7 separate regions of the Mus musculus genome follow, and all the other regions are reported to be linked to region 1. The links are microRNA targets in miRTarBase. Many come from high-throughput screens and were not tested one by one. Region 1 holds a microRNA gene; each other region holds the end of a gene's coding sequence. Distances are from middle to middle.

Evidence for each region. The annotated mature microRNA mmu-miR-15a-5p reads UAGCAGCACAUAAUGGUUUGUG and lies in region 1 at 1,317-1,338, opposite strand. An mRNA with a match to its seed (bases 2 to 7 or 8) in the 3' UTR can be bound and repressed. Matches are read on the target gene's strand: a 7mer-m8 pairs with bases 2 to 8, a 7mer-A1 pairs with bases 2 to 7 and ends in A, and an 8mer does both.
Region 2: miRTarBase lists Adam10 as a target of mmu-miR-15a-5p. The part of its 3' UTR that is shown has no 7-base or 8-base seed match.
Region 3: miRTarBase lists P2ry12 as a target of mmu-miR-15a-5p. Seed matches in the 3' UTR shown: 7mer-m8 at 1,501-1,507.
Region 4: miRTarBase lists Elmod1 as a target of mmu-miR-15a-5p. Seed matches in the 3' UTR shown: 8mer at 1,180-1,187.
Region 5: miRTarBase lists Prmt5 as a target of mmu-miR-15a-5p. Seed matches in the 3' UTR shown: 7mer-m8 at 1,668-1,674.
Region 6: the mRNA of Kpna1 is a reported target of mmu-miR-15a-5p. Seed matches in the 3' UTR shown: 7mer-m8 at 2,526-2,532.
Region 7: the mRNA of Dcc is a reported target of mmu-miR-15a-5p. Seed matches in the 3' UTR shown: 7mer-A1 at 841-847.

Annotation. Positions count from the first base shown.
Region 1 is chr14:61,630,759-61,635,226 of GRCm38, forward strand. It overlaps Mir15a (microRNA 15a), which reads right to left and starts at 1,352; the gene lies at 1,269-1,352. It overlaps Dleu2 (deleted in lymphocytic leukemia, 2), which reads right to left. Exons shown (of 7, transcript NR_028264.1): 4 at 1,679-1,725. It overlaps Mir16-1 (microRNA 16-1), which reads right to left and starts at 1,214; the gene lies at 1,122-1,214.
Region 2 is chr9:70,777,084-70,781,551 of GRCm38, forward strand. Adam10 (a disintegrin and metallopeptidase domain 10) reads left to right here. Exons shown (of 16, transcript NM_007399.4): 16 at 917-3,146. The coding sequence ends at 1,011. Among named protein-coding and RNA genes, the nearest start is that of Adam10, 100 kb to the left of the region's middle.
Region 3 is chr3:59,213,545-59,218,012 of GRCm38, reverse strand. It overlaps P2ry12 (purinergic receptor P2Y, G-protein coupled 12), which reads left to right. Exons shown (of 5, transcript NM_001357008.1): 5 at 1-1,742. The coding sequence ends at 804. All of the region lies in intron 15 of Med12l (mediator complex subunit 12-like), which reads right to left. Among named protein-coding and RNA genes, the nearest start is that of P2ry13, 4.9 kb to the right of the region's middle.
Region 4 is chr9:53,908,991-53,913,458 of GRCm38, reverse strand. It overlaps Elmod1 (ELMO/CED-12 domain containing 1), which reads left to right. Exons shown (of 11, transcript NM_177769.4): 11 at 565-1,999. The coding sequence ends at 737. Among named protein-coding and RNA genes, the nearest start is that of Gm39340, 12 kb to the right of the region's middle.
Region 5 is chr14:54,504,394-54,508,861 of GRCm38, reverse strand. Prmt5 (protein arginine N-methyltransferase 5) reads left to right here. Exons shown (of 17, transcript NM_013768.3): 17 at 915-1,680. The coding sequence ends at 1,067. Among named protein-coding and RNA genes, the nearest start is that of Prmt5, 11 kb to the left of the region's middle.
Region 6 is chr16:36,033,292-36,037,759 of GRCm38, forward strand. It overlaps Kpna1 (karyopherin (importin) alpha 1), which reads left to right. Exons shown (of 14, transcript NM_008465.5): 13 at 1-139; 14 at 430-2,871. The coding sequence ends at 617. Among named protein-coding and RNA genes, the nearest start is that of Wdr5b, 5.7 kb to the right of the region's middle.
Region 7 is chr18:71,255,120-71,259,587 of GRCm38, reverse strand. Dcc (deleted in colorectal carcinoma) reads left to right here. Exons shown (of 29, transcript NM_007831.3): 29 at 509-4,468. The coding sequence ends at 598. Among named protein-coding and RNA genes, the nearest start is that of Gm41772, 610 kb to the right of the region's middle.

The DNA of each region.
Region 1 (4,468 bases):
TATTCTCCTTCATTTAAAATGAAATATTTAGGCACATTATACTCAAGATTATGTTATAATCTGTAGCATTTCAAACTTTATCTGTATCTAAAGAAAACTTCAAATCAAGAGAAAAGTATTTTTCTATTATAAGTAATAATATGAGTTTAAATTCATGTACAATTTGGTACTTCCTAAACTCTTTCAAATAAACTTTTATATGGAAATGCTGGAAAGAGAGCTCGAGCCTTGGTGGTACTGGGTATATTCTGTACCACTGTAGCTCTCAAGAAACTCTGGAAAGGTGTTCAAGACTTAAAAATACTTGTTATATTATTAGTCAGTGCTCCATCTGTGGATCCAACCAACCACACATTCAAAACATTTGGGTGGCCAGGCATTGGGGCCTACAGTTTTAAACAAAGAATTTGGGAGGCGGAGGCAAGAGGATCTCAGTGAGTTTCATGGCAGCCTGGTCTACATGGTGAGACCCAGGCTCAAAAGACCAAACCAAAAAACTTATTTCTTGGACAAAAACTGCATTAGTACTGAATTGTACAGTTTTTTTCTCATCATTAAGAGAATAACTTGAATAATACAACTATCCATGTTAACATCCCACTGCACTACACATTAAAAACAATGTAGAGATAAGTTTAAATAAGTATAAGGGAGGATATGCACTGGTCACGAGCAGACATTTTATACAGGAGATCCAAGCATTTACAAATCTGGGTATCTAGAAGTCCTATAATCAGTTCCTCACACAGAAGTCATTATGTTTTGTTTGTTTTTAAAAGACAGATCCTTACATAGGTCTTAGACTTGCTTTATGGCCAAGGATGATGTTAAGCCTCTAATTCTCTTTTTTCCACTTCCTCAGATCTAGGATTACAAGTGTACCTGGTATGCAGTGGTAAGGCTAAAACCCATGGCCTTGTGCATGCTAGCAAGAAGCACTTGGCCAACTGAGCTGCATTACCATCCCACAATTATATAGTATTTTAACAGACACAATATGTAGAGCGTTGTTACTAACATCATTACAGAATCATACCAAACATAAAATCACTAATGCAATTAGAAAAACCGTGTAAACACACAAGTAACATCAATACACATTGAATTACAGTTGTAGAGTATTGCCAACCTTACTTCAGCAGCACAGTCAATACTGGAGGTAATTTCAGAATCTTAACGCCAATATTTACGTGCTGCTAAGGCACCGCTGACATTGCTATCATAGGAGCTATGAATAAAAAGACAGGTACTCTCTTCAGAAGATCAGGTCCTTGTATTTTGAGGCAGCACAGTATGGCCTGCACCTTTTCAACATCCACAAACCATTATGTGCTGCTACTTTACTCCAAGGGTTGGTTTTGAAAACTCCTAGCACCTCAATAGTAATTTACAGAAAAGGCTTTTTAGGAAAAAGTAGAACACATAAAATCTATGTTTGAAAAAAATCTAACACTGGTATGTGCATAATTTTATAGGCTTTCAGCAGAATAAAAAGTATTTCCATATCATAAGTTTAATAAAAGCGTACAGAAAACTTAATACAGTGCTGTAATTTATTGTAGTCATGAAACGAGAAAAGCAAGTCATTTTCCCATACCAACTTAAGAACCTCATTTATTAAACTAACAACTTTTGAATGTGCTTAACACATGAAATAGCTACAAAAGTTGGTTTTTACCTTATTAAGAGCAGCACATCTTTCAAAGCCAAATCCATAGGACAAAGCTTCATGTTAAAGGAAACATGTAAGAACAAACATGTAAGAGCTCAGTTTCAAGAAATTTATACTAGCAAAATATTTAGAAGACATACACATGAAACATATTCCCCAAAAATATATAACCCCCAATCTACACATGAACACAAGATTTATCTCAATATTGGAATAGTTATTGTGAGTTCAGTGTCATTTATTATTACCCAGAACATCATCTTAGGATAACAGGTCTATTTGGTTTCCTAAAAGGATATATCAGAAATCCTGTAGCTCAAGCCTAAGTAACCATTTGTGTGTTTCCCAGTTAAAAAGGCTAGTCCTTTAAAGGAGTATCATTTTATACCACAGGACTTTGACTTAGCTGAAACAAAATTTTTACTACGTTAAGTTCCAACTTCATTTTATGTGTGTGTGAATATCTAGGTTTTCTTACACTATTAAGAAGACTCTTTTCTGTTTAGTGGGGGACTTAGCCATCCCTTCACAAAGAACTGTTCTTATTATTCCAGTTCATACCAGATTTTCCATTCAAACTAGATTACTGTGTAGCAAATGTTTTCTAGTGGGTCAATGCCATTTCTCCATTCCCGTTCATGTTGGGTCATTTGAAATATCAAAACGTCTTTAAATCTTCAAACCTTTGCTTTCAAGTGTGCCAGCTTAAAAAAAAAAAGTCTGAAAATAAAGATAAAAGCTGCTAAAAGTGATTTTGTCCTTTATCTTTATACAATGATTATAATTTCAAATTCAGTGGTTTTTTGAGAGAGGTTTTGAGGACAGTGGCTGCTGTCCTGCAATTCATTCTATAGACCAGGCTGGACTGGAACTCAGAGATCTATCTGCCTGGTTTCCCTCCTGCATGCTAGGATTAAAGGCGTGCACCATCATGCCCCGTTCCAAATTCAGTGGTTTATATTCTGGCCTAAGGACCAAAATAATTTTTCTTTGTTGGGTTTTTACATAGTTCAACTTTTTACTAATGTTCTTAAAAGGAAAAAAAAGCCATTCTGAAAAGAAAACAAAATGTTTTGCTTAAGAAGGTAACTTGAGTGTACATAGGAATACATGGCAATCTTTAAATACCTGAAATTAATATTATTCGTATAAGAAAACAGAATTTTACAACAATTTAAGAAGATAGATCAAACCAAATTGTCCTATTTCCCCCTTCAACTCTATTTGTTTCCATTAATATTTTTCTTTAGAAACATTTACTTTTTACCTTATAAAACTTCTAATATTAATTCATCTTGTTTCCATAAAGCTTAGCACTTCACAAACATTTATAGGCATGTTGCCCAAGCTATATCATCATCTTGACTGCATCAGAATAATGGGATACTTTTTGAATTTAATAATAAGCAACCAGTAATTTGTTGGAGCACAATGACAGAATACAGAATCTGAGGTCCGAACCCTGACACTGTCCTTTGAGTGTCTCCCATGGCTGTTATTCTAGTACACTGACCCTTTCTGGTTCCCTATCTGCAAATGAACCATTAACATACATATAAGCCTTTGTAGGACGCTTCTGAACCATAGCCATCTTATGAAGTTGTCTAAGAACATGGAGAAAACACTACCAGGTTTAAGTTCTGATGACAGAGCAACAATTCTCAGGGCACAAAAAATCTACTTAAATAGCAAAGCTAAAGGCATGAAATACTGCAACAAATTTGGGAAGTTAAAAGCTGGGTATGTTAATATCTTTGATGTGGCAATAATGCCACTATAAAATCTTTGGAACTGTTTCTTCTCTAAACATTTTAAATTCCTAGTTCTAAAATTTGATATGTGAAAAGTGACAGAATCATTTGTAGGGCATACTACTAAATAGTTAAAAATTCCATTTCCATGTGATTTTTTTCTAGGAAAATGAGCTTATGTAACATATTTGAAAAAGAAATTGTTCTAACAACAACAACAACAACAACAACAACAACAACAACAACAACAACATACCCAAATTTTATTTAATGGCTATGAAAGGAAAACTAAACTGATTGTTTAGGCCAAGTCAGGTATGGTGATCACTGACAACTGAATATGTATTTCAATTTGCTCATTTTTTACATGGAAATTTTTGAAATTCAAGTTGCAAGGCTGCAGAGTTACTCAGTGGTTAAGAGCATTTTGTTGCTGTAAAAGACCCAGGTTCAGTTCCCAGCACCCACATGGAGCCTAAGCACTTCCTCCAGCACGCACTGCAGACATACACGAAGGCAGAACACTCATACTTTAAAAAGCTCAAATTTCAGAACAGAAGATGACAACAATAATTCACACTAAATGTTCTGAGGATATTATCCCAGTGCATTTATGCTTAAAAGTGAAAAAAAAAATCACATTGTATCAGATTGTTATATTTGCAAATTTAAATTCCTACCCAAACCAGGTGGGTGGCTAAGTGTTGTGAGTGGAACATGCCTATAATTTTGGCACTCTAGAGATGGAGGTAGAAGGATTACTATACAGATTCAAGGCTAGGCAGATAAGCTGTCTCAGACAAAGAAAATGAATATACACCCCACCAAAATTCAGAACCTGGTATAACTGTTTAAATTTTACCGTCCCCCAACTGCCCCCTGACCATACAAGGGATCATATAAGCAGGGCTGTCCTGAATTTCACTCAATTGTTACTGATGACCTTGGTCTCCATCTCTCCTGCATATCAGGTCCATACACACTTACACATATATACATGCAGTTAAACTCACAAATTAAATAAAGAAATGTATAAGCCTTAAAA
Region 2 (4,468 bases), not on the chromosome of region 1:
TAGTCTGATCAGTTTCCCCTTCCCCTCTCCAAGGTGTGGCTAGTCATTACAGGTGTGGGGAAGACTGCCTAAGGCAGTGGCAGGGAAGCCAGGGCTGTGTGCTACTGTGTGGCCTCCTCAGGAGAGCCTTGCCTCAGAGTGGTTTCTTCTACTTTGTATTTCCCCTCAGCTGTTCCTTGCATTTTCCCGTGTTAGGACAAGAGTGCCCAGGAGTCATGATGGGGGTGGAGGATGTCTGATTTGATATACTTGCTTTCTTAAGTTTCCTAAGTCAGAACCCAGGCACTTGTGTGAGTTGAACACATTTCCAAGAGCTATAGGACACTTTTGAGGCATGGTTGCCATGGTGTCCTTCTTCATTGGAGCAGATAATGCACTTGTGTGTTGACACCTCTGAAAATGATCGTCACTTGTTAAATCTTCATAAAAGTGCTGACTTAAGGACGGCTTTAAAGTCTTCATGATAGACTGTGTGAATGACTTCCCATCCTGCTGTGCAGACAGGCCTCAAGAGTCTGTCAGGGCTCCAGTCAGAGATTCTGCTCTCAAAGCTAAAATAATTCTGACTGGTCAGTCTAATTCTTTAAGTACTTGAAATGTGCCCCATCTCCACTGAGATGTGCTGTTAAATATTAAATATGGATCAGACTTAAAGACAACATAAAATAGTAAAATATTTTAGTAATTTTTATATTGAGTACATGCTACAGTTGGTATTTTTAACTTGAATTGGCCTAGATAAAATAAATATTAAAATTTATTTTTATTTTATTATGGCCACCAGAAAACTGAAAAGTGTTACGGGGTACCTATTTCTGCTGGTCAGTGCCAAAAAATAGCTTTTCTTGGTGAAAGAGTGCTTCCCTTTTGAAGATTAGGAGGTGGTGCTCAGGGAGCTGTTTTGCTTTCGTTGCAGGCACTTTAAAGAGGAGGAGACCGCCACAGCCCATTCAGCAGCCCCCGCGTCAGAGGCCCCGAGAGAGTTATCAAATGGGACACATGCGACGCTAATGCAGCTTTTGCCTTGGTTCTTCCTAGTGCCTACAGTGGGAAAACTTCACTCCAAAGAGAAACCTGTTAAGTCATCATCTGCAAATGATACCCTTACAGTTAATAGTTGAAGAAAAATGGCAAGAGATCATGTCCTCAGATCAGGTGGAATTACTCAAAATTTAAAGCCTGAAAATTCCAATTTTGGGGGTGGGGGTGGGATGGAAAAGGAACCCAATTTTCTTATGAACAGATATTTTTAACCTAATGGCACAAAGTCTTAGAATATTATTATGTGCCCCATGTTCCCTGTTCTTCGTTGCTGCATTTTCTTCACTTGCAGACAGACTTGGCTCTCGATAAACTTTTATCACAAATTGAAATATATTTTTTTCAACTGCCAATCAAGGCTGGGAGGCTCGACCACCTCAACATTGGATACATCACTTGCCAATGTACATACCTTGTTATATGCAGACATGTATTTCTTACGTACACTGTACTTCTCTGTGCAATTGTAAACAGAAATTGCAATATGGATGTTTCTTTGTATTATAAATTTTTCCGCTCTTAATGAAAAATTACTGTTTAATTGACATACTCAGGATAACAGAGAATGGTGGTGTGCAGTGGTCCAGGATTCTGTAATGCTTTATGCAGGCAGTTTTGAAATGAGAATCATTTTCCCTTTTCTTATGGTGGAGTTGGTTCTTACATACATTTTTTTCCTTGTTACATGGCTGCTGTGAGCAGGAGAGGCTGTGCTGAAGAACGCAGCTGATGGCTTGCAAACTGGACAGCAACAGCATTTGGCTTCAGAGTCAGCTCTTTTTGTAGATGTCTGATTTCTGCTTAGTATTTTATACTTTCTAAATCAATTCCATTTTTAAATTGCTAGGTGAATTTTTTCATGCCTTGGAATTATGTTGGAAATGATTAATTTTCATCTGTAGCCTGCTTATTACTTTGTGTATTCCATATACTTCAAGCCTGCTAATTCTGTTTTTATCCAATATGAAAAAGAAAATCAGTGTCTTCATTGAAATACTTGGACAGTTAGTTCTTCAGCACTGTCACTGATCACTGGTAACCACTAGAGATGGGTGATTTGCTCAGCAGGTAGTTGAAATTGTAGATAGGTTTTTCGACGTTGTTTTCCCCCCAACATTTTAGCAACAATGAAGGTAGACAGCACAGTGTCCCATTACAAACTTCTTTTTTAAGCAGATAAAATATTGGCTTTTTTAAAGAAAGAGAAAGCAAAAGCATTTAATGTATTAACAGGCTTATCGCTATGCAGAAAATGGAGGGGGCATTAAAAAATGTAAGCTTGTGACATATTCATTGCTTCTGTTTTCCAGCTACATCACTTAAATTAGAAGTCAGCAGCAGTGATCTTCCTGGCTTTACATAGGAGGCAATCTAGAGAAGGTTGACAAGATTACTGTGTTTGGCTTTTTTTTTTTTTTCCTTTTTTCTTAAGAGTCTAAGGTTTACACAATCACTCACAATGTGACGCGAGCCAGCAAGGCCAAAACCGCTAGAGAAACAATGGGATCTCTCCTTGTAAACTTGTACAGTACGCGGGACTTTTTTCAAAACAGCTTTTTGTACATGATTTAGAGACAAATTTTGTACATGAAACCCCAGATAGACTATAAATAATTCTAACCCAACAAGTAGGTAGCTGTGTATGACACTGCTTTAAATCATTCAAATGCCTTTGTTTTTGGACTGTGCAAAGGTTGGAAGTGGATTTGCATTTCTAAAATGGTGACTTTTATTCTGCAAGAGTTCTTAGTAACTTCTTGAGTGTGGTAGACTTTGGAACATGTACATTTTTTGCTTGTAATGTTATCCTGTGGTAGGGTTTTGCCCTATTTTATTTTGAGTCTAAGTTAAATGTTTTCTGAAGAGATACATGCACTGAACTGTTTCCACTACAAATCAAGATGTGGTTAAAAAATGAAAGGACCAGGACCAGTGAGATCTAATACTACTGTCAGTTTAATGTCCACTGTGTTTTATACAGTATCTTTTTTTTGTTGTTCACTTTGGAAATTTTTACTAAAACCTGCAAAAAATAAAGTATTGTGCAAAGATGTAAGGTTTTTTGAAACTTGAAATGCATTAATAAATAGACTTGATGAAATCAACTTGAGGTCTATGCTCTTTGGACTCAGAAACATCAGAAGTAGCCACCATGCTGAATGAAGGACTATTCAGCAGAAAGGTCTCTCCATGCAAGTGAGGGCATCACTGCTACAGTCCAGAGCCATGGTGCACAGTTGATTGCCATTATCACATGTACACTGTATGTTGAAAGTTACTCAACACAACGGCTTCTCACTGTTTCTAAGCAGTGTCCAGGACTTGTCCTAGTGAAGAGCTGAAGCTAACTGGAAACTTGTAGTCTTCTTTCTGTGTTCTCAAAGTTCTGTCTGGGTGCTAAGTGCTTTTATTAATGTCTGATTTATCTGGATGTGGTAGTGCCTATCCATAATTTCAGTACTGTAGAGGCTAACGTAGGAGGATCTGGAGAGAAAAGGTAAACCTAGGCTATATGCAAGATTCCTTCCCTAAACAATCCTGGTAAAGAAATTACCTAGCATGCACGTGGACCTTGTCTTCAATTCATAACTCCCCTGTCAGTTCCCCCACACAAAAGAAGACTTGGTCTAATGAAAATGTATTTGAAATTCTGAACTAACATTTTCCCGTCTTACCAGATTTATTATATATTGTAAGCAGAGAATTGACATTGTAATATTACCTACAAAAGAAATTATTTTGTATACAGGATAGTGCCCTTTATGGAATAATATGCCCCAAATTCCTATTTTAAAATTAAGACTAGCTATAAATATTGGTATATATTAAGTAAGTAAATATGTAATACTTTGTTTTTTCTTTTGTTTTTGTTTCTGTTTTTGTTTTTTAAGTGGACGTCTCACGCTGTAGCTGGCCTTGAACTCACTGCCTTTGCCTTGCAACTGCTGGAATCAGGGGCACTTATATTTGTGCCTACTTTTTCATACTTTTACAGTAGCGTTACTTAATAATTAGGGGGTTGTTTTGTTTTGTTTCCCCATGAAACTGGTAATTTTTACCAAGTCAGATAATTGCAAATTTGTTGCTGCTTAAATTTTGTTTGGAATTTATTTTTGGTATAGTTTTCTAAATTTCAACACCAGTTTACAAACAAATATATCATTACAGTTTCGGGATTTAGTGATTTCCATAGCACCAGGCAATATGTAGGCTGGGGAAGGGTTTATCTAAGGGAAAGACAGCTTTATAAGATTAGTCTTGGCTTTTCAGTATCTTTAATACTTTGTTGTCTAGGTACTTCAAACTTGTTGCATTCATAGTTGAATGTAAAACTGAAGATTTGCCCAAACTGAGCAGTTTTCTATTTCTAAGTCAGGTCTTGGGCTGCTATTGTTTTTTAAGGCCCAACTGTTGCTCTCAACATGGT
Region 3 (4,468 bases), not on the chromosome of region 1:
CTAACTTTTCCATTTAAAATTCTTAGTGATGCTAAACTGGGAGCCGGGCCTCTGAGAACCTTGGTGTGCCAAGTTACTTCAGTCACATTTTATTTTACAATGTATATCAGTATATCGTTCCTGGGGTTGATAACCATTGACCGCTACCTGAAGACCACCAGGCCATTTAAAACGTCCAGCCCCAGCAATCTCTTGGGTGCAAAGATTCTTTCTGTTGTCATCTGGGCCTTCATGTTCTTAATTTCACTGCCTAACATGATTCTCACCAACAGGAGGCCAAAAGATAAGGACGTAACAAAATGTTCTTTCTTAAAGTCAGAGTTTGGTCTAGTTTGGCACGAAATAGTCAATTACATCTGCCAAGTCATTTTCTGGATTAATTTTTTAATTGTCATCGTTTGTTATAGCCTCATTACCAAAGAACTCTATCGGTCTTATGTCAGAACAAGGGGTTCAGCCAAAGTTCCCAAGAAAAAGGTAAACGTCAAGGTTTTCATCATCATTGCTGTATTCTTTATTTGCTTTGTTCCCTTCCACTTTGCACGGATTCCCTACACCCTGAGCCAAACTCGGGCCGTCTTTGACTGCAGTGCTGAGAACACCCTGTTCTACGTGAAGGAGAGCACCCTATGGCTGACGTCACTGAACGCCTGCCTTGATCCATTCATCTACTTTTTTCTTTGCAAGTCTTTCAGAAATTCCTTGACAAGCATGCTGAGGTGCTCAAACTCTACATCAACATCTGGGACAAACAAGAAGAAAGGACAAGAAGGTGGCGAACCAAGCGAAGAGACCCCAATGTAGAACATTACCCAAGGGGCTGCTTCAGTCTTTAATATCCAGACTGCTCCAAGGAAATCACCATACAAATATATTAACATTCACTAAAAAGAAGTTGAGTTAATGATTCTTTAAATAATCAATAAAGTAAGAAAATAATTTTTAACTACCTTTTCTGTACATATATGGGAAAAATCTTAGTCTGCAGGTGTATTTTAAAATGAACTGCATCCCATTGCTATACTGCAGGCAAACCACAAAAAAAAATCATTTATCTGATTTCTTCAAAATTAGCAACATGAAATGTAATATTCATTGTCATTTTAAAATAAATTACCAATAACAATATTATTTTTGTAATAAGTGAGAATGTATGTATGATCTGATACATCAAACACAGTAATTACCAACTTCCCATTTATAACAAGGATAACAACAAAACCAAAGGGACGTAAATCAAATGAAATGACAATGGATAAGGCCTGGATTATTGTAAATGCACATTAAGATGGTAGAGGTTTAAAAAGCGAATCTTACCATAAAGGACAGACATGATGAATAAAATTATTAACTTAACAAAAGTACACTTTCATAACATTCTAACATTAAAAATATTTACTCCTTCCTTAACACTAGAGGCAGCAATTTTACTAAGGTTCTAAGTTTACTGGGTAGAGTGTCATTATCGGTACTTATCTGCTAACTAGCTTTGAAAATGCCTGCTGCTTGAATGAACAGAACACTTCTTAATAAGAAAACATAAGCAACTACAATTACCAAATCACACATCACATCTACCAATAAGAAAGTGATTGAACTACTTGAGATTATGTTTGTAATCATGTGTATAATATTAAAATGCATTTATTCTGTATCGTTTTGTTGGAATTTCTTCATTCAAAAACTATTAGGTATAATGGTTCAACCTTCTTTGCCTCTATTAAACAGTAAATGTATTTAAGAACTATGGCCAGTACAGCTTTATTTTATATTATTTATATAGTTTCTTCAGGACAGTCATGTCCCATTTATAAGTCCTCATGTGATGATAAAAGAGTGACACATGTAGTCAGAACTCATATGTTTCATAGGTGGTATTTTTTATCTTATTTTCATTAGTCAACACAGAACTGATGTATGCTTACTGGGTATGGTGTGATACATCATTTTATGCATATAAGCAATAAGACCAAACTAGGGTCATATTTGATAGCTTTAATATAAACAAAATATCCAGTGTGTGGAAGTTCAAATCATTAGTTTCAAATATGAATGCTCCTTAGAGGGTATTTTCTGACACCGATGCAGAGGTTCACAGACAAATACATTAAGTGGAGCTTGCAGAATTCTGCAGAAGAGGAGGTAAAGGATGGTAGGAGCCAAGGAGGTGACAGATACTACAAGAAAACCTACAGAATCAACCCACTTGGGCCCATAGGTCACACAAAGATTGACCTGGCAAGCAAGGAGCCTGCAGGGGACTGGCCTAGGCCCTCTGTACATATATTACAGTTGTGTAGCTTGGTCTTCAAGTGTGACTCCTAACAGCAGGAGCAGGGGCAGTCTCTGACATCTGTTGCCTGCCTTTGGGACCCTTCCTTCCTACTGGGCTGCCTCATCTAGCATCAATAGAAGATGCTGGTAGTCTTACTGCAACTTGATAAGCCAGGGTTGGCTGACATCCATGGAGGACTCCCCTTTTCTGAAGGGAAATGGAGGAGTGACTTGGGATAGGGGATGACTAGAAGGAGAGGATGGAGGGAAAACCAGGGTTGGGATGTAAAGTAAATAAATAATTTAATTTAAAAAATAAGATTTCTCCAACTTTAGGGGGAAATTCCCAATGTCTACAGTAAGGCTTCCCAAGAACACAGCCATGCTGTGCAGACAGAATATCTAAGACTTCCATGACACAACAATAGGGCTGGCAAGGAAGATTATTCAGCCAGAATCACCTAAAACCATAGCCCTTTAAAAAAATAAGAACCTGCCAACCCTGGAATTACTACTCTAGCAACAGAAATGAAACATCAGAGACAGACCCTCTCGCCACACCTGCAGCCAATTCATAGTTTGTGAGCAATGGCCATGGTGGGATTAGTGTCACGAGTGGGAACTGAAGATATGGATACACAACAGTAATCATAAGCACCAAGAAATAGATGGATTTAGCAAAACGGGAAGAAGATTAGAAGGCGATTTCCAGAAGGAAAGTGAGTGGATAATATGAAAGTAAAAGGAATTACGTCCATACATTATAAATCTATACTTACATGGCACAGTGTATTTTACTTATAATTTTCAAATTGACTTAAAATATTTTAATAAGGATTAGAGAACTCTATCTTCAATGGGATTATACATTGATACACTCCTTATAGAAACCTTTTTGAAAATATCATATAACATTTGATACCTAACACTTGATCAAGCTATTCTTACAAATATGTTAAAACAAACATACAAGAGAACCTGAATACATATGTTCAGCAGTAACAACTCAAAAAGTCAAACAAATTAAATGTCCATCCGTAACAGCTTAACCAAAATATGGGAAAGTTGTGTTTATCATTATGATCAGTGTCTATGTATTAACATAGACTAAGACAAAAATTAACACAGACTAAAATAAGCATGAACACTTACACACTAGTATAAATATAAATGACTTCTTGCTATCTATACACTGGTGTTTAGAGTTTTCAAATAGTTGTTTTGTGTGTGTGTATGTTTTGTGTGTGTGTGTGTGTGTGTGTGTGTATGTGTGTGTGTGTGCATGTCCCCTTGTGAGTGTGGGCCTGTGTACACTATCACACACATATAGGTGTCAAAGGACAACCTCAGGTGTCAGACATCATTTGTCATTTTGTTTGAGATAGAGTCTCCTTTTTACTGCTGCATATACCAGACCAACCACTCTGCATGCTTCTAAGGAATTCTGTTTCCATATCCCCAATCTCGCAATACGAATGACAGAATTACATATACACATTACTGTGTCTACTTCTATATGGGCTCAGGAGATCTAAGTTTATTCTTCCATGCTTGTGTGGCAAGTGCTTTACCTACTGCGTCATCTCCTATGTATTTCATCTTTAAAACATATGCTTTCTTTTATGACAAAATCCTTGTAACTAAATATTAAGCATTTCAAGTATTGCTGTGAATTTATTGCCTGTTTCTGAAGAGATTTTTCTAATACTGATTTTCACTTCAGGACATCTGCTTGTAAACTACATAGTGTATTTAACTCATTATCACTTTTGGTTACCCTAATTGGAAAGTTTTAAAAAATTCACATGCTCTAAGGAAAGTACCTCAGTAGATTTCAGAGTAAATAAGAGTTCTCTCCTAGGAATATTTGAGTTCCCACTTCAACTTACATCCTTAGTGAAAATGAAAGCAAACATCTCAACATTTCTAATGTTATTATATGATGCATGTTAACTACATCACCAGAAGTCCCTTTGCTCTTTGCCTTGATCCAGCTCAGGAATCCTGGAGGTCTAGCAAAGGAAGTAGGTGTAGGCAACTTCCATTACAGACCAGTTTGTCCCATCTGACCATACTGGTTGGACAATTTACAAATTTAACCTTAGACCTGAGTGTGTACCAGACAGAACTGAGTGTCCGTTCAGCTTCTTTTTCCTGTATCAATCATTGACTCTTGGCATAAGGACTTCAGGAT
Region 4 (4,468 bases), not on the chromosome of region 1:
GGGGGGAGAGAGAGAGAGAGAGAGAGAGAGAGAGAGAGAGAGAGAGAGAGAGAGAGAGAGAGCCAAAACTCAAGGTTGAGCTAGAGAGATGGCTCAGTGGTTAAGAGTTCTGATCGCCCTTCCAGAGGATCCCATTTCAATTTCCAGCACCCACATAGCAGCTCACAGCTGTAACTCTAGCTCCAGGGCATGCGATGCCCTCTTCTGGCCTTCGAGGGACACCATACCACGTGGTGCACAAACAAACATAACAGGTAAATACTCATAAACATTTAAAACTTTTTACTTAAGGAAAAAAAAATATGTTTCCAACGTGATTCATATTCAAGAGGTGACATCATTGTTTTGTTCTCCTGCTTTATGGAGTAAAAGTTTTCTCTCGTACCAGCTGCAAAAGGAGGAGATTATAAGCAGCTTGGTAGCTTCTACTCCACTGATCTCACTAATCATTGGTGTTTGCTGTGACCTCCATGGAGACTGTTCTGGTCTAACTCATCCACTGAGGATTGGAATGTGACTAAGGATGATGACCTTGCAGACTTATCACTGTCTTGTCCCAAACAGGCTATTTGATGCACGAGTTTCACAAGTTTTGGATTGAAGAGGACCCCATGGACATAATGGAGTTTAATCGCGTGAGGGAGAAATTCCGCAAGAGGATCATAAAACAGCTGCAGAACCCAGATATGGCGCTGTGCCCGCATTTTGCTGCATCGGAAGGTTTAATCAACATGTAGTGCCCACACTGGTTTCAATGAATACCCCAGAACACTGCCTCATTGTCATCCTAGATCTCTGCTTAGGTGACAGCTCACACACCTAATGCACATAAGTGACTATATATATATATATATATATATATATATATATATATATATATGCATGCCTTTTGGTACAGTATTTTCATCTCTTGGTCATTATTCCAAGATTCCCCCAAAATCACCATTTCTGGAGCATCAACCCTCCAGTGATTGCTCACATTGTGGCATTGTGCAGTGTTAACATCTGTCCTTGGCACCCAGGTATGAAAAAAGTTTTCTATTTTTTTAGATTTTTTTCTCCCCCCCCCCATCATTCCATATTAAAAATGTATAATAATTCTCTAGCTGTAATTTGTACGTAAGAGAGTTAGCTGAATCTCGTTCTGTGTTCCTATTTATTAAAATGTCTCACGAAGACTGCTGCTAGCCTCTCAAGCTGGACCCTTGCTTGTACCTCATTTGGGTAAAGCATAAGACTTTTAAAATAATACAGACACATGATAAGCCAAACTCTTCCTGCACATATAACTGCACTTCACCAGAATGTAATGAGGCTATAAGAAATTAGCTTAAATAGGAACCATCCTTGTGTGAAATCCTGCCGAACTGTAGCCTAACTTAACCACAGTACAACTGTGTCCTAGTCATCAGGATAGAAAACTACTACTATTCTCCCATCGCTTCATGGCTTGGATGTCTAAATATGTGTATGATGCTCGGAGCCCCCAGAAAAGAAGCCATATCTTTCCAAGGCTGCAAAGGGTTTCTCACTATCTGACTCTTGCTGAACCCAGACTTAGTTCTTAGCACTCCCCAGATCTGAGTATCCTTGCTTAGGGGATTGAGTGCTGACTGGTTTGTTTCTATGTTGAGGGGCAATATTTTAAAACTTTTGTCAAGAAAATGTGTTAGAACACAGGAACCTAAGCAATGATACCATGCAATATTTCCTGAAATTAGCATCCTTGTATCGGTGGAAGAAGTGGCTTGGAAGAAAAAAAACAAGATCATCCTCAAACTGCTAAGAATCATCTTCTTTAAAATGTAATTTAGTTTGGAATTATGACTGTAGTCTGTTGAATAGTATTTACCATGGTATTTCATACCCGTGGTATTTTATACTTTGGGACTATCGATTTTAGTATTATTAGATGTTTGTGTAATCACTTGCTTATTTAAATAAATTTTGAGTACTGCCTAACTGTCAGTATATGAATAAATTGCATATCATTCTACAGTAATGGAGAGTGGGTTTCATTCTGATGTCTGTGCCCTTTATAGGTCTTAAGATATGCAAATATGTGACTGGGTAGAATGTCAGTGACAAGAAGCTGTTTGTTTATAAACCACTGCCTTTCAGAGCAGCCAGGTGTAATTCAGAATGTGCTATGGCTGAGAGATTCCCTTAATCTTGAGGTCCGATGATGCTTTAATGAATGAGCTATTTTTCTTTCTTTCTTTTTCATTTTTGACAGCATCTCATTATGTAGCCCTACCTGACCTGTGACTCACTGTGTAGACTAGGCTGGCCTGGAATTCACACAGTCACCTGCCTCCATTGCCAAAGCACTAGGATTAAGACATGCATCCCCACTTTTTCTTCACTACTTACTGTAAAATCTGACTTGACTACTGCAAAACATCTGCTATTTAAAACCCCTCAGCTGCCTGTGGTTGCTTAGTGGGAATTCCCCCATTCTAGGATTCTGCCATCCTTTATCTTTCCATCCCAGAGCCAGGTGGTAACCTTCCTACTTCCTCTCCTTTAGCCTGTGCCCTCTGTTAGACAGTGCAAAAGAGAGAGTCGGTCAACACTTAACACGTCCCAGGAATAATGTCTCTAGAAGAAGGAAAAGCTATTAGCCAAGTAGGTGCTTTGCCTTGAGCACAACAGTACTTGCACCTGCAGATAAAGGCATGGCACCACATGCTGGGTAGACCACATCTGTGCACTGCCTCTTCTTATCTAATATAGAACTATAACACCAATGCACCTTGATGGCATGGGATTCTTCGCTCAAGTTATTCTGCTCTGGTGGAGATAGCAGATGTTACAAAGCTAAGACATTCCCTCCTGGTTCCTTGGAAGCGTTCCAATGGTATCTGAACATGGCCACAGGATTTTAGGATGAGCAATCACTGCCAGCTCCCTGGATGTGTTATTAGCCTCCTCGTTCACACCGCATTGTAGAAGATGCATTCTACCCAGTAGCCCAGAGCAAGGTGAGAAAAAGAAAAGGAGGTTTCAAAAAGCAGCAGAGACATGTGATGTATGCTATGTGTGGATGTGTTTCCCTGGAGTATTTTTAGCTTGCTCATGTTTATTCCACTGAGCAAGGGTTGACCGCATAGAATGTAAATTGTGTAGCATGCTTCCTTCAAGGTTTCCAAAACACTACTTGATATATGATTTTTAAAACACTCTAGTTTGCACTACAGGGGGAAAAATAAAAAATACTCTTGTTATTGTGCTAGAGTGAAAAGCATTTGCCTGGCAATCCATCATCTTGTCTGTGTTTGTGAAGAAACTTAGATAGACATCATTCCAAGGACAAAGCTGGGGTAGTTTTACATCCTCCAAATCAGAGAATGTTTGAGAGAGACAGAGACAGGGACAGAGACAGAGAGACAAAGAGACAGAGACAGAGATGGAGAGAGGGATGGAAGGAAGGATGGAGAGAGAAAGGGAGGGAGGGGGAGAGAAGGGGAAGGGAGGGGAGATGGATGCTGTCGACATCTTTGTCGACAGGTTAAACTGGGGCAGTTTAATGAAACAGTGATATTACATGACCAAAGTAGACCAAAAGACAGATATAGATAAGAGTTCTCTACTAGTAGCTCAATGATGCAGATACAAGTCCATCTATTTTTTTCCTCACTCTGGCAGAAGTGCATCATGGGATCCTGTGTGCCCATCAGAGGTGTGGGTTTTGTCCTAGTTGAGAATTTCAACTCCAACGATTGGGCCTCAAGTATGATGGGGAGATGAAAATCAATCTCCATGGGCAAAAGCTTTACTGATCTGCAAACATAGGAGGCTGGGTCCAGACTGAATAGGTGTGTTGATGGGACCAGAGTGGGTGGAGTGTGGGTGGAAGACTTAGAGGGTTCTAGAGAAAACAGGGTAAAGGGAGAGAAAATGGAAAGCAGAAAGTCTTAGCCACTGAGTGCAGAGCCACATGGAAGAACCCAAGGCACAGTAATACTTACTCGGCCAAAGCACTGCCCCCAGCCTCCTGGGACATAATCAGGCAATGCTCTAATTCAGAGACAGGGCAGGAAAGCAGAACAACATTAAGGAGGGCAACATTAAGCCCCGGAAAGAGGTTCCAGCATGGATTCCATTTCTAATGCTAACAAATGCTAGCATGGTGAGCTCCAGTGCCGTGAGCCAGGACCCTGCTAGCCCTGACCTTGCACAGCCACAGCTGCTGGTCAGCATCTGAAGTCAAGCAGCTTTTGTTTGCCCCCTTGCTTGCTTTTCTTCCCTTCCTTTTTTAAATTACTAACTTTATTCATTTCATTTCGTATGTGTTTTGCCTGCATGTGTGGCACGTATATGCTTGGTGCCTGCAGATGTCAGAAAAGGGTTTCAGATAGCTGTAAACCACCATGTGGTGTCTGAGAATTGAACCCAAGACCTCTAAAGCAGCAGCCAGTGCTCTTACCCTATCTGAACCATCACTGCCCCAATGCTTTTCTTGCCA
Region 5 (4,468 bases), 7.1 Mb from region 1:
GGGACAACTTGTGCCAGTGGTGTTCTTCTCCTGTCCCTCAGCTAGTTGGCTGTGACCCATGTTCTGTTCTGTCACTTGCTCTGCAGTCCTCTTGGGGATACCCAAGTAAGCTACCTGGACTCCCCACATCTCCAGCCTCTCTTGTCCAGTCTTTACCTGGAAGAGGGATGAATTTTACATTATTTGAGTTTGCCTTTCTATCTAAGCCCCTCAGCACCTTCCCACTGCCCTCAGGTGAGAGCTGGCTTGGTGGGTTGGCTTCCAGTTCTCTCTGCTTTGCCTGTGAGGTTCCTTGTTCATGTCTCCACCCTGCTAACTGCCCTAGGTTTCCTGGAATGTCTCTACCATCAGGCCATTTTCCTGACCTCCAAGAATAGGCCAGCTTCCTCTTGAGTGCTTTCATGGCTCCCTTCCTGTACAGTGTTTACTGTGTCCTTGTCACTGTCCGGGGGTTCCATATTTTGACAGGATAGCTAACTTTTATGAGAGTCAATATATATTTTTTTAAAATTTATTTATTTATTATATGTAAGTACACTGTAGCTGTCTTTAGATGCCCCAGAAGAGGGCATCTGATTTAATTACAGATGGTTGTGAGCCACCATGTGATTGCTGGGATTTGAACTCAGGACCTCAGGAAGAGCAGTCAGAGCTCTTAACCACTGAGCCATCACTCCAGCCCCCAAGGGGCAGAATATTTTGTTGTATTTATCTTTTGTTTGGTTTTTGAGAAAGGGTTTGGAATTATAGCTCAAGCTGGCTTTGAAATCCTGATTCTCCTGCCTCAGCGTCCTGGGTGTTGGGTTATAGGTTTGTCCCTACACTTGGCTGTTTATTGTCTAATCTCTGTCTGTCCCACCATCATTGCCAAGTACAATTCCTCATTCAAGCCGCCTGTGTCTTTCGTATTACAGCAGCCCATCACGGTGCACGAAGGCCAGAACATCTGTGTGCGTTTCTGGCGATGCAGCAATTCCAAGAAAGTGTGGTACGAGTGGGCGGTGACGGCCCCCGTCTGTTCTTCTATTCACAACCCTACCGGCCGCTCCTATACCATTGGCCTCTAGCCCTGCACACAGTGTCAAAACCTTGGAAGCAGCTCTGAGTTCTCTTCCTACAGCACAGAAGGTGTAGAACATCTGCTGGTTCAGTTCCTCAGTGAGACCCTCAGCCGCCAGAGAGGAGCGGTTCCGGCTGCTTTCCTACCTAATGTCATGGTGGCCAACGGGTAGGCATTCCCGGACTGCCAGGCATGGTGGTGCATACTCTTTATCCCAGCACTCCAGAGGCAGAGGCAGAGGCAGATGGATCTCTTTAAGTTCAAGGCTAGCCCGGTCTACCTAGCAAGTTTCAGGCCACCTAGGGCTACATAGTGAGACCCTGTCTCCAAAAAACGAAAAAAAAAAAAAAAAAGAACTAGAGGACACAAGCCAGCAGCAGTCTTCAGAGCCTCTGGCTTGGGCATGAGAACTCAGCAGCTCTGGATGAAGCAACCTCAGCAGATGCTCAGCCGCCAGAGCTCCCCAGGGGTCAGGAGAGAAAGCGAAGGCTGTGGAAGAGCCCGGGCTGCGTGCATGAACACTTGACCTGCGCTCTTCTTGCCCTACTCTGTTGTTGTTTGGGTGGTTTGTGTCTGAAGGAAACAAATAAAGTGAAGTTACGGCCTCTGCTGCTTTACCCTGCTTCTTTCTGCCTGCCTGTTTCCTGCACCTCACTCAAATCCCGCATGTTGAGGTCTGTGCTCTTGTCTTACCTAAGACCCAAGGAGACCCAAGAAGCTGGGAATGGTCAGTAGTCGAGCAGGAAGTACTCAGTGGTAACCTGTGAGGTTCTGAGTCCTGCTCATGCTGCGTTCGACCCCATGTGTCAAGCCCTTCAGCCCCGCCCCGCCCCTAGGACCTCTGGTTATATGCTTTTTCTGTATGGTCCATTAAGTCCATTTGTTGATTTCTCTAGGAAAGAGACACTGTGGGGATATGACTAAAGCTCGCTAGCTTCTCCCTTCCTTAGATGGATCGCAGGCGTCTCCAGTAAAACCACAGAGTGATTAGACCATTCCTCCATTTTGCAGAAGGGAAATTTGAAGTCTGTACAGTGAAATGTTACTACCTTTCCAAACATCTCTAACAGCCAGTAACTTTTTGGAATAGTGCAGGGAGTGGGCAGCTGAAGTGTCCAGGAGTTTTGGAAAACCTAAGAAAGTGAGGGTTGGCACCATCAGTTCTTTTTAGAACAATACTGCAGAACTCGTGTCAGCCAAGAAATTATCTCAGTTAACATTTGCAATAGGGGGCCATGCAGAGTCTGATGTCAACAGCAGTGTAGCAGAGGAGCATGTGACAATACTTAAGTCCCAAGGAGTGCGGTCAGGAGGGGCAGTCTAGAGGGTGGGTAGCTGCCTACCTAGGATGGAGGTATGGGGCCATTCAAAACCATGTCCAAGAAAACAGACTACCCTCAAGTCAAGGTTATCCTCCATGGGCTTTGCCCAAGCTGTTGAATCAGGTGCCTGTTGGCATCTAGATCTGGAGAGAACAAGTGAATCTTCTCCATCCGTTTGCTTTCCTTCTGTAAGTCACTTAACCAGGGAGTTAGTGGTGAGCGTCTCCCAAAGATGCCTTTAAAGCTTGAGTCCTTGCCCATCTCCTGGGTTACTAAGAGACATTTGAGTTTGTCTCCTTTGTAGGGACTTAGTCCATGGGAGTGAGCCTTTGTTCTGATGGATCTCACAAGTGCACGCCATGATCTGGAAAGAGGAGTCCAGCTGCCATGGTTCCTTGTCAAGAATATAGGAAATAGTGGAGCTTTAGGCTCCCCACAAGCCTGAAGGAACAAAGCGAACCTTTTGGGATCAGAGTTGGTGAGAAACCTCATAGGGCTGGGTACCCACTGCCGCTGCCTGCATCTTATGACAGTATATACCTAGGGACTGATGTGGTCTCAGGTCTGCTGCCTGAGGGGGCCGCCCAACAAGAGGGAGCCAGTCCTGTTGTCACTCTGGAACAAAGGGATTGGGATTTCTTCCTCAATTCTCAATCACTGGAAAGTTTGTTTATTGTATTACTATTATGTTAGCTTCTCTGTTTTTTGTTGTTTCTGTTTTTGTTTTTTGCTTCCCTGGGCTTTTGATTTTCACCACATGTTCCATTCCTGAGGCCATGTAGAGAGAATCACTGGGACGGGCTTCGTAGAGACAGTGCCAACCAGCAAGTTATTTTTATTATTTATTTATTTATTTATTTACTTTTTGGTTTTTTGAGACAGGGTTTCTCTGTGTAGCCCTGGCTGTCCTGGAGCTCACTCTGTAGACCAGGCAAGTTAATTTTTGTTACTGAGTTTCGGGTCTGCGTAGCCCTGGTTGGCCTGGGATTCAAGATCTACCTGCTTCTGCATCTTGAGTTCTGAGATTAAAGATTTGGGTCCCTAAGTTCCGCAGCTGTGGACTATTTTTTAAGAGTAGTCTTGGCTCATTACAGAACACTGCAGTCTCTAAGGCAATAGTTCCACTTCTTAATTGTGTTGCCTTAGAGGTGTTTTGCCCAGGTCACTGACTTCACCTAGGAGATGGTGCTGCCGTTGTCCCCCCAAACTCCAACATTGGGTAAATTCTCCCCGAAGTGGCTGATTGGTTTTTAAGCATTCCTGTGCCCCTTTGGCAATGTGGACTCATTTGACAAAGTCCAGGCGCTGCTGTGACTGTGGGTGGCCAATGTGACTTTTGAAGCAAGGATGGAAGACTAGCCTGCCGCGCACTGTGGGTGGGATGCAGCGCCCCTTGGAGGGCTGGAGGGCTGGGTCATCGGTTAGGAGTAGTAGCTGTTGGTTCTTCAGAGGACCTGGGTTTAATTTCCAGCATCTACATGGTGTTCATAACTTTCCATAACTCCTGTTTCAGGGGATCTGCTGCCCTCTTCTGAGCTCCATAGGCAGTAGGTGGGCATACACAGGCTGCACAGACATGTAGCCCAAACACCCATACTTCATAATTAAGGGATCTTGACTCAAGTTAGAGCACTTGAGATCTTGACATTTACCACCTTAAAATGAATAACATTTAACCCTACTGCTTTTAGGACTTCTAGAAGTACCTCTCTAAGCCCACTGAGATTGTCAGGCCAGGCAGGGTGAGACTGGGAGAAGGATCAGTTGAGTCCTGGAGTTCAGGGCTACAGTGCATTAGGCCACTGAGGACCACACTAAGTTCAGCATCAATGTGGTGACTTCCTGGGAGTGAAAGACTACTAGAATTGCCTAAGGAGAGACAAACTGGCCCACGTCAGAAATGGAGTTAGTGGCGGTTTGAATGAGAGTGGCCTCAACAGGCTCGCATACTTGAATACTTAGCCCCCAGTTAGTGGAACTGTTTGAAAAGGATTAGTAGGTGTGGCTTCATTGGAGGAGGGATGTCACTGGGGGTGAGCTTTGAGCTCTCAAAAGCCCAGGCCATTCCCAGCGGGCTCTCTCTGTT
Region 6 (4,468 bases), not on the chromosome of region 1:
CTCCTCACTGTCATGGATGCAAAAATTGTACAGGTTGCCCTAAATGGCTTAGAAAACATCCTGAGGCTTGGAGAACAAGAAGCCAAACGAAACGGCTCAGGCATTAATCCTTACTGTGCTTTGATTGAGGAAGCATATGGTAAGAGTTTGGCTGAGAATGAGGGAAATGAACAATAATAATCATATGAAAACATGAACATGGGAGTAGTGGGTGACACAGAGACAACAGTAGTGAGACTTTGCTTCCTTGGGCCAGAAACTGCTTGCAATGTGCATTTAATTTAAGATGTTAATTTATAATATTGGGCTTTGGATGTAATGGCAATAATCATTTCTGATGCGTATGTATAGAGTCTTTACATCAATAAAGTAGAATTAAGAATGTAGTTACTGAGGTTTTCAAGAAAGATTCTTTATCCTTCATTTTAGGTCTGGATAAAATTGAGTTCTTACAGAGTCATGAAAACCAGGAGATCTATCAAAAGGCTTTTGATCTTATTGAGCATTACTTTGGGACCGAAGATGAGGACAGCAGCATCGCACCCCAGGTTGATCTTAGCCAGCAGCAGTACATCTTCCAGCAGTGTGAAGCTCCTATGGAAGGTTTCCAGCTTTGAAGCAATCCTCTCCTTCTTGTTCCTGTGTCAGACCAGGCTATCCAGTCAAGTCCTCTTGTGGAGCCCACAGTCCTCATGGAGCTAATCTCTCAAATGTTTTCCATAATACTGTTTGCGCTCATTTGCTTGCCTTGCGCACCTGCTCTCTTACACACATCTGGAAAACCTCTGGCTCTCTGTGGTGGAATACCCTTTTATTACAAGGGTAACCAGAACGGCCCACTCTCTTATGGAAAAATCCCTAAGCTTTGGAGATCCGCACTTACATTAGAGTCATGGGAATATATACACATACTAATGTGGCTCCCTTTTTTGTGGGGGAAAAAAGAGGACTCTTCCTCATTCCGTAAAGTGGGGAAAATGACATTGAAAGATAAAACTAAAACCTTTATCTTGAATTTTACACAACTACAAGGGAGATATTTAGACTTGTGTATACATCAGAGTACTCTTCTCGAGTTCTTCCACAGTGAATCAACCCTTGGAGTACCTGGTGGCTTTTTCTAGCCACATTTGCATTAATCCTTATTGAGATGGGATGGTTTTCTTTCCTCTAATGGAGTCATTTTCTTCAGATATTAAAGTTAAACCATCCAATCCCTCACCTTCAGCCTTCAGTGAATGTGCTTCTAGTTGTCAGGAATGCTGAAGAATTAACACTTTGACTTTTAAATGTGATCCTGGCTTGGCAGATTTCCTTAAAGCAGGAAGGAGAGAAGCATATATTAGTTTGTATGGCTTTTGCTTCTCTTTGTTTTTGTTTCTTAGGATTTGGAAGTGGTTCAGTTTTAACGCTGGTATGAAGGCTAAAAGTCCTTAAGTAAAACCATGTTCAAAAATCCAATTAAAGACTAAGAACATAAAACCCATCACTTTGTTTAAACCGGTGTGACGAGAGGCTGTGTTTCTGCATTACAAATGATCCTCAGGCTTTGTGGTCCTGACCAAGGGCCTGGTAAATTGGAGTCACCCTAGGTGCTTTTCCTCTTCGTGACTGGCAGATAACACATATTTAAATGTTACTTAGGGATTTTTTTTTCCTTTGTTGAGTGCAGCTCGATTCTAATGTAATCATGCTGCATACATGCTTTTGCTGTGCAGCATCCTTATCTTTAAAAGCATACTAGTCTCCTCAGTGTGACCTCTAGACTAAAAGGGCAGTGATCCAATAACCTCAGTATCCCCTGTTTTTATTTCATCTCCTACTAGTACCCTACCTCCCCTAGGAAGAACATGCCCACCTCCTGCTTATTTAATGATGACTGTAATGTACCTGCAAATGGCGCTTCCAGTACTGTGTTCACTGACATTTGTGCTTGGACTAGAAGGGGAAAGAAACAAGAAAAAAAGGATAATTGCCAAGAGAACTGCAAATGAGTTCAATGTGACTTCTCGGTGCTAGTTGGCCATCTTGGCTCAATGTTGGGACACACTATCAGAGAGAGGAGTCTTTTTTTTTTTCCCCAATGATATTCTGTTCAAAATGAATTCTGAAGGAAAAGTTGCTCATGTCTGTTTCAGAGCATACCCTTTTAAATCTTTTTAGACTACTCTTCTAGAATTCATCATAACCCCAAAATAGATAAAAGCTATCTAGAAGTTGCCCTGACAAGCTATTGCACATCTCTGGTAAATCCTGCTGAATGTAAGGAATATTCAGAGCTCTCATACCTCATCATGATGTTATTTAAGCAGCCAATTTACACGACCTGATTTACTTTGAAAAATTTGTTTCATTCAAACTAGAAAGTTCCAGAGACAAAGGACATTTCTCAGCCAAGAGTGTGATGCATTCTTGCCCTAGTCTTTACTTGTGTCTGCTCTGGGATGGATGCTGTCTGATGTCTGTTACCAATGGAGCAGATACCACAAAACTAGTCAACTCCCGTCTGTCCTGTTGTTTTCTAGTGCTGCTTTGTGCTGAGAGAACATGTTAGTTTACTGAACTTGACCTGTACAAGACTGATTCTTTGTAATTTTAGGGTTAAATTAGGTGGTTAATTTAAAGATGAACTTTCAATGTTGCCTTTACATCACATTACAGTATCACTTCTTTGAGAAGGTAATAGAAGCACTGATTCATAGTAAAAATCTTGTTTTTAGCTTTGACTTTTCTTGTGGCTGATTTCTTTTTAAATTGTAAATTACTGGTAACATGTTATTTCTATAGAATGTTTTAAATTATGTACCTTCTATTGGATAGTTAAAACCTTTGCATCTTATAAAGGAGTTTGAATGAAAAGAAATAGAAAGCACACAGAGTTGTCACCTCACCTTACCAAGAGCATACAGCTGGAACTTTTGTAGCAATATCAGGGTGGCCCAATGAGTTCAGGTCCATTAATCAGTGTGAGCTCTTTTATCTTAAGCCTGACCAGAAGTTCATGAACTTTAAATATTCTGAACTTTGTTTTTATAGTAAAATGATTGTTTCAGTGTAAACATGGCATTCAGCTAAACCCTGGCAAGTTCAGATGTTCTGGAACTGAGTACTTACAAAGAAGACTTTTGTTTCTTAACGCAAGTGGAATCTTAGGGGTTACTTGTAAATCCTATTTTTAGTCTTTCACCTGGCAAAGTCTATTAATTTAATCTTTTGAAGATTTTTATCAGAAAGGTGTTACTTATTACAGAAGCATGTTAGTATTTATAACATAAAACCTCTTAAGGATTTTAGATAGTGATCAGGGCAAAGTGGCTTTGTTGTTTTCCTTCTCTGTCTCCTTCCAGACTTTCCAAGTATGTATTTTATACTGAGAACTTTGATTTTTAAAGAAGCATTCAGAGACTTTGAGATGTAAAGGTACCTGGTACCTGAAGCACCAAAAGGTAAAGAGCCGGGTGGAGAAACACCCCAGAACATTCAGATGCCAGGTACAGAACACAGTTAGGAGACTTGGCTGTGGGACACGGGTTCTTGCCACCAGTCAAAGCCATCTTTAGATTGCCCTCGTTAGCCCCCTGCTGGAAACTCTGCTGCACCAGGGTTGTTTCTTCCACACACCAGACTAAGCTGTTGGACTCCGGGTGTTTCTCAGCCTTACTGTCCTATAATAAATCTGAATTATTCCAGTTGCTGCTGACTATGCCTAAGAAAACATATGTAAGTATAATTTGTCAACCAAATTCTGTTGTACATGACTACCTACCGGCAACTTTGATTGATTTCTGTAGTGCTAAATAAACATTTCAGCTGTCTGACCCCAAACGTGGGGCTGTATTGTAAAACAGGTTTTCCTTGGGTTATGGGATTTATTTTATGTCTGATTAAATTTGGGGGAAATTTTCATATCAGTAAGCAAGCCATTTTAGCTGTTTTTAGGGGCTGGAACTTTTTATTTAAGTTGGAAAGTGTGTTGAGTAATGTGCCATAAGAAAAAGGAGTCAGTTTTTGAGCGGGGATTGTTTCTTTTCAGGGTGCATACATACCTTCCAAATTAGAAAGTTTGCTCACTTGCAGTTTCATTTTGAAATCCTAAATTAGTAGAGCCATTTTTTTTTGTTTGAGGTAGACAAATTAACTATCTGTCTGCAGAGTTGGAAGTATTTAGACTCCTATCATTCAAAATTAGTTAAATATAATATTTGCCTGTATATAAATGATATTCTATATTCTTTATTGTTACAAAAGAACAGCTTATGAGTACTAAGACATCAGGGTAATGTTTAATAAAGTAGAGGTTTAATGTTTTAAAAATATCACATTGCTAGAGCTGGAGGGAGACCTCTTGTGTTAGGAGGTCATCTGTTACGGGAAGTCACTACCCTCGAGGAAGATGGGAGTGTGGCTCCCAGCACCCACATCAGCACCCATCTTGCTTTGACTCCAGCTACAGTGGATCCGGAGCTCT
Region 7 (4,468 bases), not on the chromosome of region 1:
GCTGATCTTTAGATACTTTTTAGATGCCTATTTATAGATAGCCAATCAAAACGAAGAGGAACTACTGTGTTAATATGGATCACAGGTCAGACATTGTGACATGCAGGGAGCATGTCAGGGGATGCTCAGAATAAACTATAAAATAGGCACCATTATCATTTCACAGACAAGTAGAATTATACAACAGAGAAATCTTCTAACTTGTTCACTACTACAAAGCTAGCCATTGGAAGAATATGACTTAAAATAGTATATTTTTAACAGTGAAGCTTTTTTCCCTATTAAAGGTATAGAGTACATGGAAGCAGTATTCAGTAGCTTATTGGTAGCTCTTTTGCTATTACAAGTTCATTGAGTTAAAATATTCTGAGAGCTGCTCTACCTATCAGTCCCTATGTAAATCTCAAGAATAATAAGTGACCCAACTTACAGCCAGACACTAAGTGGATCTATCATGGTAGGAGCCTACCAAGACCTCATCCTGACTCCGTTCTCATTCTCTCTCCAGGTATATGAACAGGATGACTTGAGCGAACAAATGGCAAGTTTGGAAGGGCTAATGAAGCAACTCAACGCCATCACAGGGTCTGCCTTTTGACACTCATTGCCAAAACGTTGAGATCTTCTGGGAACTTTACAGCATACCAATTATCCATAAACAGCACACCTGTGTCCAAAAACTCTTACCAGTGTACAGGTCAACCATCTGGACCATTCGGTTAAGGAACATCTGAAGCACTTCAGAAGAAAACAGTATCCCATCCTATATGGACATCAGGAGTATACGATGATGGTCATGAGGTCCCGAAGATGCATCTTCACTGCAAAGTCAAGGCTGAAGCTGCTAGCATAGTTCTGGGTCTTTGTCACTGCAGGGACCATGGTGTCATAACTAATGCCTACATTTTCCTTCAGTGAGACCTTTCATTTTCTGTGTAGGTCTAGTCTCACAAGTGCATTATTTCAGCCTGTACCATGCCATAACAAATCAATACAAACTCACTATTTTTTTCAGCTACAGAGCATCCATGGTAACTCTCTCACTCCATAGCACCAAAGGATTGGATATTTTCCTGACAGCATAAAAGAAAATAAGTGAATAAGCAAAAGGCAGTGAATGCTTGTTTATAGCTCAATCATTCCATCTCACAAAAGTGGCTGATGTTAGTGAGTGGGTATAAACTTTTTACCAATTTTAGCAAGTATTTGTAAATCCATCCTTGATTAACGTTTATGTCTAGCAAGTAGAAACTTAAAAATCCTCAACTGGTGGCATCCTGCCAGCAACAACACCTTTCTAGAAGGAGAATACAATATGCAATCTTCTCAGACACGTGGTGATTGTGTACTTGAGCTTGTCATAGGACATTTTTCGATTTCAGTGGCTTCTATGCCACTCCACACTGTGATGGCCTGTCTGGGTTTCACTAAGGCTTCTTCTTCAGGAGTTTGGCCAGAAAAACTCCACCATCCTCCATCCCCAACCATTCCCCTACTTCTCCTGGGCAAGTAGCCTTAGCTAAAATGGCCAACTCCATGCGTCATATATCCTGTGTCCCCAATATCCCTCTGTGGAGATAGTAGACTTCCTGAGAGCGAGCTCAAGAAAGAAAAGGAGCATGAAAAACCATATCCCAGGGTACCTTTTCATGAGTTGATGTCCCTTCCACCAATAGCATCTTCATTGAGCGAGCTGTGCCAGGCAACATTGACAGATGTTGACCACAGGTTTCTGTTGGCAAGGCAACCTTCCATCCCATGCCTAAGACAGTCAGGGAGGAGAGAGGGATGGGTGCCACTTCACATCTGCACATCATAACTCCTGTAGGTATTTTTCCATGCAGCATCTAAACTGTGGACTAGAATTTTAAACTTCTATCGCCATGTATCTACGGCTTGAAACCAGCTGAATATAAGAACATTCTGTGCATTCCCTTTTAGCCCATGAACTTTCAGCGGTATGTGGAGTTAATCCCTATTTATGCAGCTGAGTCGCCAAGAGGGAACTAGTTTGCATATTTATCAGTTAGGTGACTTGAAAACTTGATGAGAGTTTCAGCTGAATTATTCCTTTCAGCTCTGCCTTTGATTTCAAGCTTGAGTAGGTCATAATTTTAAGAGAGCATGGCAAGGATAGGATCTTTACAACCTAATAGCTCCTTTTATTAGGTGGGTAATTATATATGAATCCCTGAATGAAATATTTTGAGCAAAATGGCACTGTAACAGAAATAATAATTCAGATTATTTTTTTACAGTTTTATGTCGGGAAGGAAATCTGATGTCAAAGAGAGGGCTTGTTCAAATGGTTCATTAGAAAGTCTGGTCCATTTGCAAAACGTTTCCTTCAACAAGAGTGCTTGTTCAATTTACTGAGATTTTTTTTTTTTTCTGGAAGTACTTTCGAGGAACTATGTGATGTTATTCAATGGGACAGAATGCTTTTGTTCAATATTTGGGCACTGAGGTAGACAGCAGTTGACTGACCTGAAATAAAGCATTTCTTATCATAGCAATGAATATTTTAAAAATAATCCACTACTTCGAACTGGAAAAATGTTTACTGAACTACCATAACTTCCTCCACTCCCCAGAGTGTATTCCCCTGTCTAATAATAAAAAGAAAGGAGAGCCACTTTTTAGAGGCATTTGATATCAATGAGAGTCACCTCAAATTTCAGGTTGGGGTTTGCTACAAACCTCAAATTTCAAATTCCATGGAATAAGTTATAATGAAAGGTGTTCTGTAACATCTAGTTGTAAAGTTAAGACAACCAGAATTTTTATAAAACTCGAGGTTTTTCAAACTTTCAATGATTTCAGGGAGTGTAATCTTTAAAAGTTGGATGTATGCTTTCCATTTTTAGTCAGAGTTATATTTCCTCCACAACTCTTGAAAAATTCAGTAAACAAATAATTTATTTTAGCAATTGGTGACTCTTAATAAGTCGTATTGTCATGCCTTGAATATACATTGGAACCATGAGACTGGTTTCATTAACTCAGTGATTGTAACATGTATTTAGTCCAACACGGCTTCTGCTGAGCTCTTGTTCCCATCATCTTTCCAGTGGCTCACGTGTACACAGTAAAATTCCCCAGGGTTCCAGGTGGCAAGTGAATTCCAAGGTCTATGACGGTGTGAGGCAGCCTGAATTTGTCTAGCTTGTGTGTCTAGCTCACTCCATACAAGACCCTTTAAACTTATAAATCTCTTTGAGCCCCACAGGGCAAAGCTGAAGAGGCAGCCAGCATCTCTGCCACCAGCAGTTAGTTCTCTGGAAATGGGAAAAAACATCAAACTTGGCAGGAGGACTCAGGATTTTATACACTATGCTCAAATGAAAAGCAAGAGCCTGCTTTTAAGAACTTTGCTATATTTTTTCTATTTCATTTTGATAAGAAAGTAATTTCCATTCCTCCAGAAATTTCTGCATTTGTTTAAACTGACAAAAATAAAGAGGGCTCACAATATATTCAAAACATTTGTATAATGCTTTAGTCAAAAGTTAAGTATTTCTTAGTGCTTATAGCTGCCTCCATATAATAGACCCATAATCTTCTAGAATATTTAAGTAATACAGCTTTATATTTGGCTCTTATTAAATACATACTCAGTTCAACAACCCAGAAATAAAAAATTCAAACCAATGCTATAAGAATCCGACTTACTTAGGGATTTCTTTAAGGAACTGGACATAGTAGTAGTAGTTTGGGTTTTTTCAAAATGAAGATTGCTAAGAATGAGGCATGTGCTCAGAAAAGGTGACAGTTACAAAAAGAGACTCCAGATTAACGTTTTTAAGCCAAAGGGTGTCATTCATTGGCTTTCCCAAGAAACAACTCCCCAAGCATGGGTCCAGAGTTTGTTCTCAGAGATGATTGTCGAAAGTTCCCTCTCCTTTGGAGCCTTCTCCTAACTTTTTTACTCTAGTCAAAAGTTAAGTATTTCCTAGTGCTTACAGCTGCCTACATATAGTAGACCCATAATCTTCTAGAATATTTAAATAATACAGCTTTATATTAAAGTCACCTACAAATGGAACACAGTGTCTCAGACATGATAGATGCACAGTGAGTCCCACGAACAGTTACTTACGTCCTAAGAGGCATCCTGCCATTTTTCATAAAACCTTAACCTGGGTTCTGGAAGTGTTGGAATGCTTATTTCCAGTCAGCAAGACATAGGAAATGGAAAACTCCCAAGTCTTGCGTGAATCTAAAGAAATAATAGTAATGTGGACTTCAAAAAGATGCAGAGCAAGTGTATAGAATCTGTATATTCTACCTTTCTTATCAAGTTCTCTTTATGCAACCACAGGATGTCCCCAAAGGCCAAAATTTAGTATCAGGGCTTCATATACCTGGGTAGATCTCTTTACTGAAATGTAAGTGAAATAAGTACCTAATAAAAATTCAAAATAAAAACAAAAAGAAGAAGAAGAAGAAGAAGAAGAAGAAGAAGAAG